Linked DNA regions of Xenopus tropicalis. The protein of the gene in region 3 interacts with the protein of the main gene of each other region in a pairwise test. Links are inferred from orthologs where the notes say so. Each region holds a gene or a part of one and is shown on either strand. Other genes may lie near its edges.

The links.
Region 1: the proteins of bcl2l13 (region 3) and pln interact in binary tests that used the Homo sapiens proteins (3 or more experiments, as listed by UniProt). The two-hybrid records come from large-scale screens. The link is inferred for Xenopus tropicalis from reciprocal best matches to the Homo sapiens genes BCL2L13 and PLN.
Region 2: the proteins of bcl2l13 (region 3) and plp1 interact in binary tests that used the Homo sapiens proteins (3 or more experiments, as listed by UniProt). The two-hybrid records come from large-scale screens. The link is inferred for Xenopus tropicalis from reciprocal best matches to the Homo sapiens genes BCL2L13 and PLP1.

The regions. Positions count from the first base shown.
Region 1 is NC_030681.2:73,815,170-73,818,828, forward strand, and holds the start of pln (cardiac phospholamban), read right to left. Parts: upstream 2,948-3,659; 5' UTR 2,841-2,947; intron 1-2,840. UniProt on the Homo sapiens protein: Reversibly inhibits the activity of ATP2A2/SERCA2 in cardiac sarcoplasmic reticulum by decreasing the apparent affinity of the ATPase for Ca(2+).
Region 2 is NC_030684.2:37,565,987-37,569,644, reverse strand, and holds part of plp1 (myelin proteolipid protein), read left to right. Parts: intron 1-370; exon of another isoform or gene 371-547; coding exon 548-613; exon of another isoform or gene 614-636; intron 637-1,448; exon of another isoform or gene 1,449-1,627; intron 1,628-3,037; coding exon 3,038-3,115; 3' UTR 3,116-3,658.
Region 3 is NC_030679.2:8,692,688-8,696,345, forward strand, and holds part of bcl2l13 (bcl-2-like protein 13), read right to left. Parts: intron 3,266-3,658; coding exon 3,158-3,265; intron 2,620-3,157; coding exon 2,463-2,619; intron 1,935-2,462; coding exon 1,865-1,934; intron 1,099-1,864; coding exon 955-1,098; intron 1-954. UniProt on the Homo sapiens protein: May promote the activation of caspase-3 and apoptosis.

The DNA.
Region 1 (3,659 bases), on a different chromosome or scaffold from region 3:
GACTGGAAACTTTCTGCCAGAGAGTATTGGGGGTGCATGGCATGTACACATGATATGCTGCTAGCTAAAGGATCAGCTAACAAAAAAAAAAAAAAAGTCTTAATTCATGTTATATCAGGAAAGAGTTGTATACTATGAGTTATTTGCATCCTCTGAAATATTTTAACACAAAAATCAAACTACACACAATTCTAAATGCATATGTGTAGCCCATTTATATCACAGGCTCATTCAGATATGTCCATGAAGCAAAAAATAACTTAGAGGACTGCATCTAGCCCATGGGCCTCCAGCTGGACAGACCGTTTGATGTGCAGATTACCAAAAGTAAATATCTACTGAATTTCAAATTCATTGTAGTGTAGAGGCATTGTACTGATGAGTTAAGGTTATAAGTTATATACTGTTTTTAGAAAAAGATACTTGTTTCCATTTTTGTGTAAGATCCTTGTCTGAGAGATGATTCATTATTAAAGCTATTGCTTAGTAAAGCCTAGGAGGCATTCCAGCATTTGTCTTGATTTTTTTGGCCAGCAAAAGTATAATTTTTTTTCCCATTCGGCTCTTCACATAAGATACGTTTGTAAAAGGTCATGGTTAAATAAATTCAAGTGAACAAACACAAGTAAGTTCATTCATGAAGCTTACAGTGACAGCAAAGTGTAATAAGGGTGTATTCTTTTTATTATTGTAATAAACTTTTACATTTGTCTTTCAAAACAATTTTATCATGCTTTATATAGGAGGTGGGTTAACCCACTTATTAAAATGTTTCTTTTCCACTATTTTTTTTTTTTTTTTTTTAAACTTGAAATCGTTACAAAGAAATAAAATAAGGCTGATGCAAGAATGCCCCTTCATAGTTTACTAAAGCCCTTGGGTAGGCTAAAGATCATATTGGATTTGGAAAAGGTCACCAGTGGAGAAATTATGAAACTATTTGTGCTGTTTGTTATGTGGGATAGCTTGTACTCCCTGAGCCATGGCCAATAGTCCCTTACTCCGCCTGGCTCTTGAAATTATTCCTGGTAAACAAAAGGATTATGTTATTAGGTATTAACTACTGCTTGGCCAGGAATGTCACAAACAACACTCCCCTCTAAAGTAAAGTATTTCATGATCTTGGGCTAGCCATTAAGTCAAATTCTGGAGGTTTGTAGATTGCCCAAACTTGGCCTTACTTCTTATGTAAAAGCAACATTTGGATGCAGATTGCTGCATTGGATTTTAACCACATTTGTTTTATTTGCATTTGAAGGATATCTAGTTTGATGGCACACAGTGTGATTTTTATTTTACCCTTTTTATCTGGTTGAAAAGCACCCAAAATCAGCTCCTCCCTTTGACATGAAAGTTTCATGAAAAGACTGCAACATTATAATTAGTGTTGTACATGCAGGTAAAATACAGCTAATATATAGCTGAATATCCATCTAAAAATAGAAGAAATTATTACACTTATAAATTATTGTGTATTTCCACAATATTTGTTTCAATCTATATATGTATCACATACCCTGAAGAAGGAAGGTCATACCCCCTTGGTCACTATTGGTGTTGGGTAAATTAAAATTGGACTGTTTGAGTCCTGATCTTTTATTTAAATGGTAAATGGCTGGCCAGGTATCCAGGGAACATGTTGCACCACCAACAGTGACTATTTATAGTGGTATTTATATTTTGCATAATGAGCCATTTTGATGTTCTATATTCTGTGTTGCCTGCTGGTGAACTGAGCTGAAACATGTCATGCTGATCTGAAGATGCACTCCCTCTGGACAGTGTTCATCTGTGGTAAATGTGTACACTGGGAAGTGCATCACCAACAGCAAGACAAATGCCTGTATATACAGAGCTTAAAGAAAACAACTAGCTAAAGCTTTGCTCATTTATATACAGGGTGCAAAGTCTCAAGACTCTATCTCTTTAAAATTGCTCGTCTGCAGATCTAAACAGAGTAAGCAATTACAGTGAGCCATAGAGCATTCAAAAAGTTGCTATGTGGGCCACTTTTTGCCCTTGTGATACTATATAGGAAATATAGGCTATGGTGCTCAGACTTACTTTCCAGTTTCCAACACTCTACTAAAATATTTCCCCCTACTTTTTTTTTCTTTGTGCTGTAATGCCTCAATTACATTTCCTTCCATAGTTTTTGGCTTGGTTTCCAGGCTAAATGCCTATGAGAACCTTTCTCATTAACATTTTGACCTCCCCATGCTATCACAAACATGCTTCCCAGCATTAGAAATACATGACTATTTCCAGTGTTTATTTGCATTCAGCAGCCCTAAAAATAATACATCTGAAGTTCCAAGACATGGGGAACTGATGAGTTTGACAAATGTATTCCATTATTCTATTGACATACATTAAAGTATTTTCTTACAATAAATATAATTTACATTATATACTGTTCTACAGACGTCAAAGAGCCCATCCAGCTGTTAAAAGCTATATTTCCCAGAACCCCCTAGAATGCTGGCAGCTGTCTGTTAAAAGAGCAATATTTTTACAGCCCACAAGGGACATAATTGTCTGTGAGACAGTCAGCTAAATATAATATGGATGCTGCATATCTTTGCAAATAATCCCAAGCTTATACAACTGGTTGTAATACCTTTCTTTTTCTTTTATTAGCTGAAAATAGGAATTCCAAATAAATGAATTGCAGACTGAAAATTAAAACCTACTCATATCACTTACATGTAAATTAGATGACAATTTTAGTTGCAGACTGAAATGTATGTATCAGGATAAAGCTGCTTTGATCTGCAAGCCAACATGCAAAGCATGTTAAAAAGCAATATTATTTAGTTTCACAGTGCAGATGCCCTTACCTTATTGAAATTTTGTTGTTAGTAAGTAGTTTTGCAGTGGGAAGTGTTCGGCAGCTTGCCTTGAGCTCAGTGGCAGGGCTGGGGGCTGTCGCTCAGTTTATTACAACAATTGAGGAGGTGTGGAAATGAGAGAGTGAGGGGTGGTTGGAAGCAGAATCGCAGTGAGAGGCAGGACTCCTGATATTTGGAAAGAATTTTGCAGTTTGTTGTTAAGATTGGCTGTGGTTTCCTTCCTTAGAATTAATCAAAAGTTCCCTTAGAGTGAGATGAACTGATAAAACATAATAATTGTTATGTGCCTGCAAGTTCTCTGTTGCAGTTCTTCCCATAAACGAATGGGCTATTTGATTGACATAGTTCTAAAAATGCAAATCAACTGTTGTTTACCTAATTATCTGCACTAAAGTTTTTGGATAAAAGCTGTAAGAAAATACTAGCTTAAGATAAAACATGTTCATTTGGGACCACTAATATAATTATAGATTATATTTTTTGTGTATGTGAAATCTTGCATTTGTTTTACCGACTTCTCTTTCTGTTCTGCTACAAGTGGTTGTGTACTTGTTTCTTCTTATTAACAATGGACTTTGCAGAAAAATGTATTGTCACACTTGTGTGAAAAAGCTTTATTGTGGCAGTTAAAATGCAAAGTATTTCTTAATGGCAAGCATTATTAACAAGCCATGTAAAGGTTTAGGGCTCTGGCACACGGGGAGATTAGTCGCCCGCGGCAAAACTCCCTGTTCGCGGGTGACTTACATGTTCGCCGGTGGGATGCAGGGGGAAGGCAACTCGGAGAGATTGGTCGCCCGCGAACAT
Region 2 (3,658 bases), on a different chromosome or scaffold from region 3:
TCCTATTACTGCTTAAAATGAATCACACAAGGGTCATTTATAAACGTTGGGCAAATTTGCACCTGGGCAGAAACTCATGGCAACCAATCAGATGATTGCTTTCAGTGTTCAACTTGCAGCTGATTTGTTGGTATGGGTTACTGCCCAGGTGCAAATTTGCCCAGTGTTTATTATTGAGCCTCACAGTATCTCCCCTTGGTTTGTTGGGAATTGGAATGCACTGATGTCACAGGTAGGATGTGGCTTAGAACAGATTTTAACCTGCTATGGGCCCACAACCAGTCTGGCCTGAACTTGCTTGAGCTGCAGGTCCTGACCTGTGCAGCACCTACATCCCTTCCAAGCCCATCCTTCATGAATACAGCACTGCTGAATGCACACATCTCTTTATTAACCTGTATTCATTGTGCAAAGTGTGAAAACCAAACATGGCGGTTTGTGCTTGTTTTTTGCACCTTGAACCCTACCCCACAGGTTGTGAACCCTATGGAATTTAGTGATTTTGCATACTTGCTACAAGGTGATGACTGTTCTTGTTTTCTTACAGTTCCAGATGACATTTCACCTTTTCATTGCGGCATTTGTGGGTGCAGCTGCAACTCTTGTGGCCCTGGTGAGTTTACTTTGTACTTAGCCCTGCAAATAATATACAGATGTACACTTTAAATGGAAAACACACTTTTTTAATATCCTGTGTAATTTATTTTAAATATAACATAAATATGAAGGCACAGCACTGTCTACAAATACTTTACATATATGAATTTGTATACTGCACTATTTGTATGAAAGAGTGGTGCCATGCTACTAACTACTTCTTAGGCAACCCTGACATTTCTCCATAACGAGGGTCTGTAAGACCAATAGCAGTCTCTGTTGCAGCATTTCATACAGAGCTGTACCTCAGGAGCAACTTCACTTCTGTATGTTAAAGTGTCAAATATGCAGTTAAGGAATGTTCTCAGCACAAAATGTATTAAATCCCATGGTGTCAATTTAAGTCACAAGATAAAACCTTCTTATAAATGGAATGTAAACCTATTGTTTCACAGAAAGAAGAATTTCTTGTTTCACAATGAAGTGAAGTAAATTCCTATGAACACCTACTATGTATTGTGATATTTGTCTATGCTATCATGTCTCATATATTGCATGGCATAGGAAGGGTAATAGAGATATAGAGATAGATAATGTTCCTATATATATATATATATATATATATATATATATTTATTGTAAACTAGCGGGATCCAGGACAGACACTTTCTTGGCTTTAAGGCAGTTTATTTACACAGGGGTGCCCATTGCAGCATACAAAACAAATCATAAAAATAAATCCTGCCCTCTGGGCGCTACCTTCACACATTAGATTAGTTCCCTCACTAACCTGGGCCCCTTGTGGACTACCAGTGGGAAAACACAAATGTTGGGGTCACCCCTGTACTCACAACACTTCTGGGGAATTAGCTCAGCCTCCTGGCTTTCCTTTTAGCTCCTTAGATCCTCAGTCTCTTGGCAGCTTTCTCAATTCTGGGCTCTTTCTGCTTCTGGTAGTGGCAGGCAGCACCCCCAGCCCCTCTGGGAGTCCTAACACAGAGAGGTGTCCTTCCTGCTCTGTGCTCTGCTCTGAGAGACTGTCTCACACCTTTCTATACCATTAAATACCTTTTCCACAGGACAGCCTTCCTGTGGAAAGTATGCTCCAATAGGTGAGCTGGACTACTGGAATGGATCGCCTGATCCGTTTGTTCCTTCCAGAACCCTATAGCTTTCAGGGCCAGACAGCACAACCTTTTAAACAGAGCAAACCTTCTCGGTTTATCATCTCCCACTATGGGGAACTTGAAGGGAAAACTCACCTTTTCTCTCATTTGTTGAGTCACTCTACCACAATATATATATATATATCTGTGTCATATGTCCCTGTTGTCTTGTGTGTGTCCCTATAACTGCTATAATACAGCATAAATGCTTCTTCTTCTGAGTGTGTAACACAATATTTCAGACAATTACAGAAATATAATGCCCACGGGCCAAAAATGCTTTCCACCCATTTGATAAAAAATTGCTCCAAGGTGCTATCATGTATTGCAACCTTGCTTAAATTTGCGTCATGGAATTTAATAATCTAGTATCTTTATAAACAGCCACTCATACAACTTTTCCATATCAACCTAGAATGAAAAACTTATCAGTGTAGTCCTGCTTTTATTTACTAACTGTGTCGATTTGTTTAACATTTAGTGGGGCATGCTTTTTTTTGTAGTAGGCGTGCATGCTTTTAATGTGAAATATATAAAGTAAAGACTATATTCATTCCTGACTCCAAGATGGCAAATCAGACCAGTCTCTGGATCGACTTGTACTAAAAGCTATTTTCAGAAGCCCTGTATTTTCTCAGTTTCTAAAAAGTCATCCAACTCATTCATAAATCTAATATATGAGTAGTAGTAAAACCACTTCCATAATTTCACAGATCTTAATTAGAAAAATTAAGATGGAACCTCCTTCTAATCTATTCTATTCTAATCTAATCTCAAAGGGTGTCCTAAAGTCTGTTGCAATAAGCTACTGGTTAATAAAGCACCAGAGAGTTTATTATATGGTCCCCTTATATTTATACATATTTATCATATTAAGGGCCATTTTTCCAGTGTAAACAACACCAACATAGCCCGTCTTTCTGAAGTATGACCCTCTCCTTCCACTAATCTTTTAGTACGGGTGAGATTTCTAATGATTTTATACTGTTTTTGCTAGTCTTGGAACTATAGATTGGTAAATGTGACAAAATGTAGGATAGGCCTCTGCTTTGAAAGAATACTAACTAAGGCATATCATTTTCTAATATTCCATGGACTAACATGGAAAAACTACTGCTTATAGCTTTTCTGGCCTGGAATGATGTATCCTAAGCCCATTCAACAAGAACTTTCTATGGTTTCTATTTAAACCATAACTGGATAATAACATCATATATAATTATGTATTATATTGATATATTGTATATTTTCTCTCCTGTACATTTTCTTTGCAGCTCACTTATATGGTAGGCGCATCATTCAACTATGCTGTGCTTCGAGTTACTGGCCGGAGCGATCGCTCAAAGTTTTAGACTTCAAGTCTGTGGTTGATAAAAACCAAAGCAGAATCCCGAATTCATGATTTTATTTATATGATTATAATGTTCATGTTTTCCTTTTGTTTTTGAATTCTTATTTTTGTTTGTTTGCTTAGGAATCTAGATAACATGGCTGGTGCTTTCCATGGAAAATCTGTATCTGCCCTTGGTTTCCCTAAACTCTTGGCTTAATCTAATAGAACAAGTAGGAACTACTCAAAGTGTACTAAGCAGGGATGCCATTCTCCACCACTCATATCTCTGAGTCAGCAACAACTGTAGGACCGCACATTTGCCACCTAGAAGTTACAAAAATGAGACTGAGGCTAACATTTTCTACTCAATCTTGTCACCAAAAAATTCCTTTTTAACAGTTGACAGGAGCAAATACATCAAAATACTCCAGGTCTGAGGGACATGAATTACAACAGTGTCGTATTTGTTGTTTAAAGAGATCTCTAAAACCTATTACAGACAAGAAAATACTGTTTCTTTTCGGCAAATTTCTTACAGTAGGGTAGTCGAAACCAGATAAAA
Region 3 (3,658 bases):
TCAAGTACAGGTACTGTTTTATTATTACAGAGAAAGGGAATCATTTAACCATTAAATAAACCCAATAGGGCTGTTCTGCCCCCAATAAGGGGTAATTATATCTTAGTTGGGATCAAGTACAGGTACTGTTTTATTATTACAGAGAAAAGGGAATCATTTAACCATTAAATAAACCCAATAGGGCTGTTCTGCCCCCAATAAGGGGTAATTATATCTTAGTTGGGATCAAGTACAGGTACTGTTTTATTATTACAGAGAAAAGGGAATCATTTAACCATTAAATAAACCCAATAGGGCTGTTCTGCCCCCAATAAGGGGTAATTATATCTTAGTTGGGATCAAGTACAGGTACTGTTTTATTATTACAGAGAAAAGGGAATCATTTAACCATTAAATAAACCCAATAGGGCTGTTCTGCCCCAATAAGGGGTAATTATATCTTAGTTGGGATCAAGTACAGGTACTGTTTTATTATTACAGAGAAAAGGGAATCATTTAACCATTAAATAAACCCAATAGGGCTGTTCTGCCCCCAATAAGGGGTAATTATATCTTAGTTGGGATCAACTACAGGTACTGTTTTATTATTACAGAGAAAAGGGAATCATTTAACCATTAAATAAACCCAATAGGGCTGTTCTGCCCCCAATAAGGGGTAATTATATCTTAGTTGGGATCAAGTACAGGTACTGGTTTATTATTACAGAGAAATTTGAAAAAATGTAATTATTTGATTAAAATGGAGTCTATGGGAGATGGGCTTCCGGTCATTCGGAACTTTCTGGATAATGGGTTTCTGGATAAGGGATTCCCATACCTGTACTACCAACATCACTACCCATCAACCTATGCCTCTCTGGCTGTTGCTGAACTATAACTCTCTACGTCGCAGTGCTTTAGCTTATGTTAAACGTCGCTGCCGTACACAGAGGTAGGTACCCAATCAGGACTTACCCATCCTCCCTGCTGGATAATAAAGTCCGCACACATGTCCTCTATGTAACTGACCCCCAGCTGGACGAGGGCCTTTAGTTGATACTCCCCTCGCCTCGTCAGCTCTAGGAGAAGCTGCTGCAGCAGGACCAGTGGGGCAAGAACCTGAAAGAGGAAGACGATCCAATCACATTGCAGCTCTATGGAGACCCAAGTCACCTACCAGTCCCATAGGGGTTTCTAACCTGGCCAATAGATATCTGGGCAATTATCGGGCAGCTATAAGTCTAGCTGGCCATTGGAAAAGCTAATAAGCTGCTGTTATCGGCCTGCGTGTAGCAGATACAGAGCCTGAGGGCAGGGAGGCACTAGTAACGCTGACAGATTGGCTCTGACACACAGGTAAGTACCTCCTGGGCCTCAGGGCATTAAATCAAGTGAGGCTCAATGGGGGAGAGTTCATCCCCTAAGGGAGAGGCATCGGTACATTCTAATTTCCCAGTATGGATCACCGGCACAGTTCATACATATATCAGAACGTAGGCCAGTACTATGGCTCGGTTGGCAAATAATGAGTGGCTCTATGCCCAGTCTTGCCTGCTATACCCTGGGCCAAATCCAGCTGATCCAATAGCTAATGTGGTCCTTAACCAACTGGATTTTTTAATCGGCTAGACATGGTTTAACCACCTTAAAAAGGCATAAGGGGTTATTTAATAAAAGGCACTAATTTGCCCAGGAGCATTACCCCATAGCAACCAATCAGCAGGTCCTGGTCACCTGTTTAACAGCAAACATCTAATTGGTTGCTATGGGTTACTGCTCCTGGGCAAAGGTAGTGCCTTTTATTACATATGGGGCATAGTGTATTGGCCCTCCCTTTGTTTGCACCCATACTGGAAGTTATGTGTGCGACGTGGGGACTACTTACCTTATTCCAGCCAGTGGCGTGTACACTAATGAGCGCCACCGCCTTCCTGAACTCTTCCGCCGCCAGGCTCCTGTTACAGTAAGGACACCATTAGCTCTTCATTTCCCCTTCGTTTCCCATGCACTTAAATCAATTATGGAGATGCTGATACAGAAGGCCATGACTGGCAGCTTCACCCCATACTGTGAGGGCAAAAGGCTGGAAAACCAGGACCCAATACATATTGCAGAAATATGGCGGGGGGGGGGGTTAGGGTTATGTTCAACAGGGCCTTAGGTGTTACTTGCCCTTTAAATGTTAAAGCCAAGAGCACCTTTAAAAATAATTGGCCCCAGGGTTGGACTGGGGGGTGAAGGGCCCACCGGGGCTCCCACCCCAGGGGCCCTTCAGGTGCCCGCGCCGCCCCCCCACCTGACAATCAAGGAATGATTATGGGCAGTCCCTCTAAATCCAAGTAGAGGAACCAACATCAGAAAGGTGTGGGGCAAAAGGGGGCAACTTTATAGGTATGGATTTTTATTGCCACAGGACTGTGGTACCTACCTAGGTCGGAAGCTGCCCAGGAGCTATACAATATTGTGGCACCACTGGCACTTACCCGCTCAGGAGACCCTCGGAGGCTTTATCCAGCGACTCTCGGATCTCCGTGGCAAGTTTCTCGCAGAGGTGGGACAGGCACTCCTCTATAGAGGTCTCCGAGCTCGCTGGGTAGAAGACCGGGGACGTGTGCATATCAAACCCAGTGGAGGGGAACGCTGGAAGAGAAGAAGAACATAAACTTCTTGATACCCAATGCCAGGGAAGGGGGGGCTCATTCACTGCTTTATCATTAAGCAGCCAATATGTACTAGTGGGGCGATGTATGTTCATATGGCCATGACCCACCCAACCCTTTACATGACTTGCCCAATCATTGTCCTGTCTGCAGTCTGGGCCTGCTCCTGTTTCATCTGGGCTGCCTCCTTGTACCTCCCCATGATGGCCCAGAGTGCAATAATGATTGGTTTGGGACCATCAACTGTAGCTACAAATATAGCCCCAGGCTGATCTTTAGGCCTTGGGTTGGACTGGGCCGGCAGGACACCAGGAAAAAACCCAGACCCAATCTCCGCCTGCCCTTCCCCATCACTCCCCTTCTGCCTTCCCTCCGCCGATTGTGGCAAAGTAAGTATAAAGTGCTCAGGGGGGCAGGATCTGGGCAGCAGTTACCCCAGAGTGGGTAATAGCCCTTGGACACCCCAAGTCCAACCCTTAATACAGAGTTGGTTATTTTCCTTTTAAAGGGATACTGACCAGCCGAGATCTCATCCTCCAGCCTCTGCATCTCGTCTTCTCGCTCAGCCTTCAGTCTGTCTAGCGCCCCCTGGGGCAGGGTAGGAGGAACTGCAGAATGTTGGGCGCCTGTAGTCGTGAGAAGTAAACATATGTGTTACATGCAGGAATAATAATAATAATAATACAGCACTCAAAGCAATAAACTATTAGTGAGAAGTCATTGCATACATGGGAGCTGCCATACAGCTTAGATATAACAACAAGCTATATGGCTTTTTGATAGTGCTGGTCTGTAGCCAGGGGTAAATCAAACACAATCAGGAGTAAATAGGGAGCGAGGCAGCGCATCAGTGACCCCGGGAGAAGATGACTGCAGCAGACAGGCTGTCATAGCCAATAAGAAGCCAAGCAGAAAACACAAGGGCGGCACAGGCAGCTGACAATGCAATTCACAAAGGGGTGTCTGTTAAGGGCGGTAGATGAGGCCCACACTTTGTGCTCCCATATCCTATTACTACG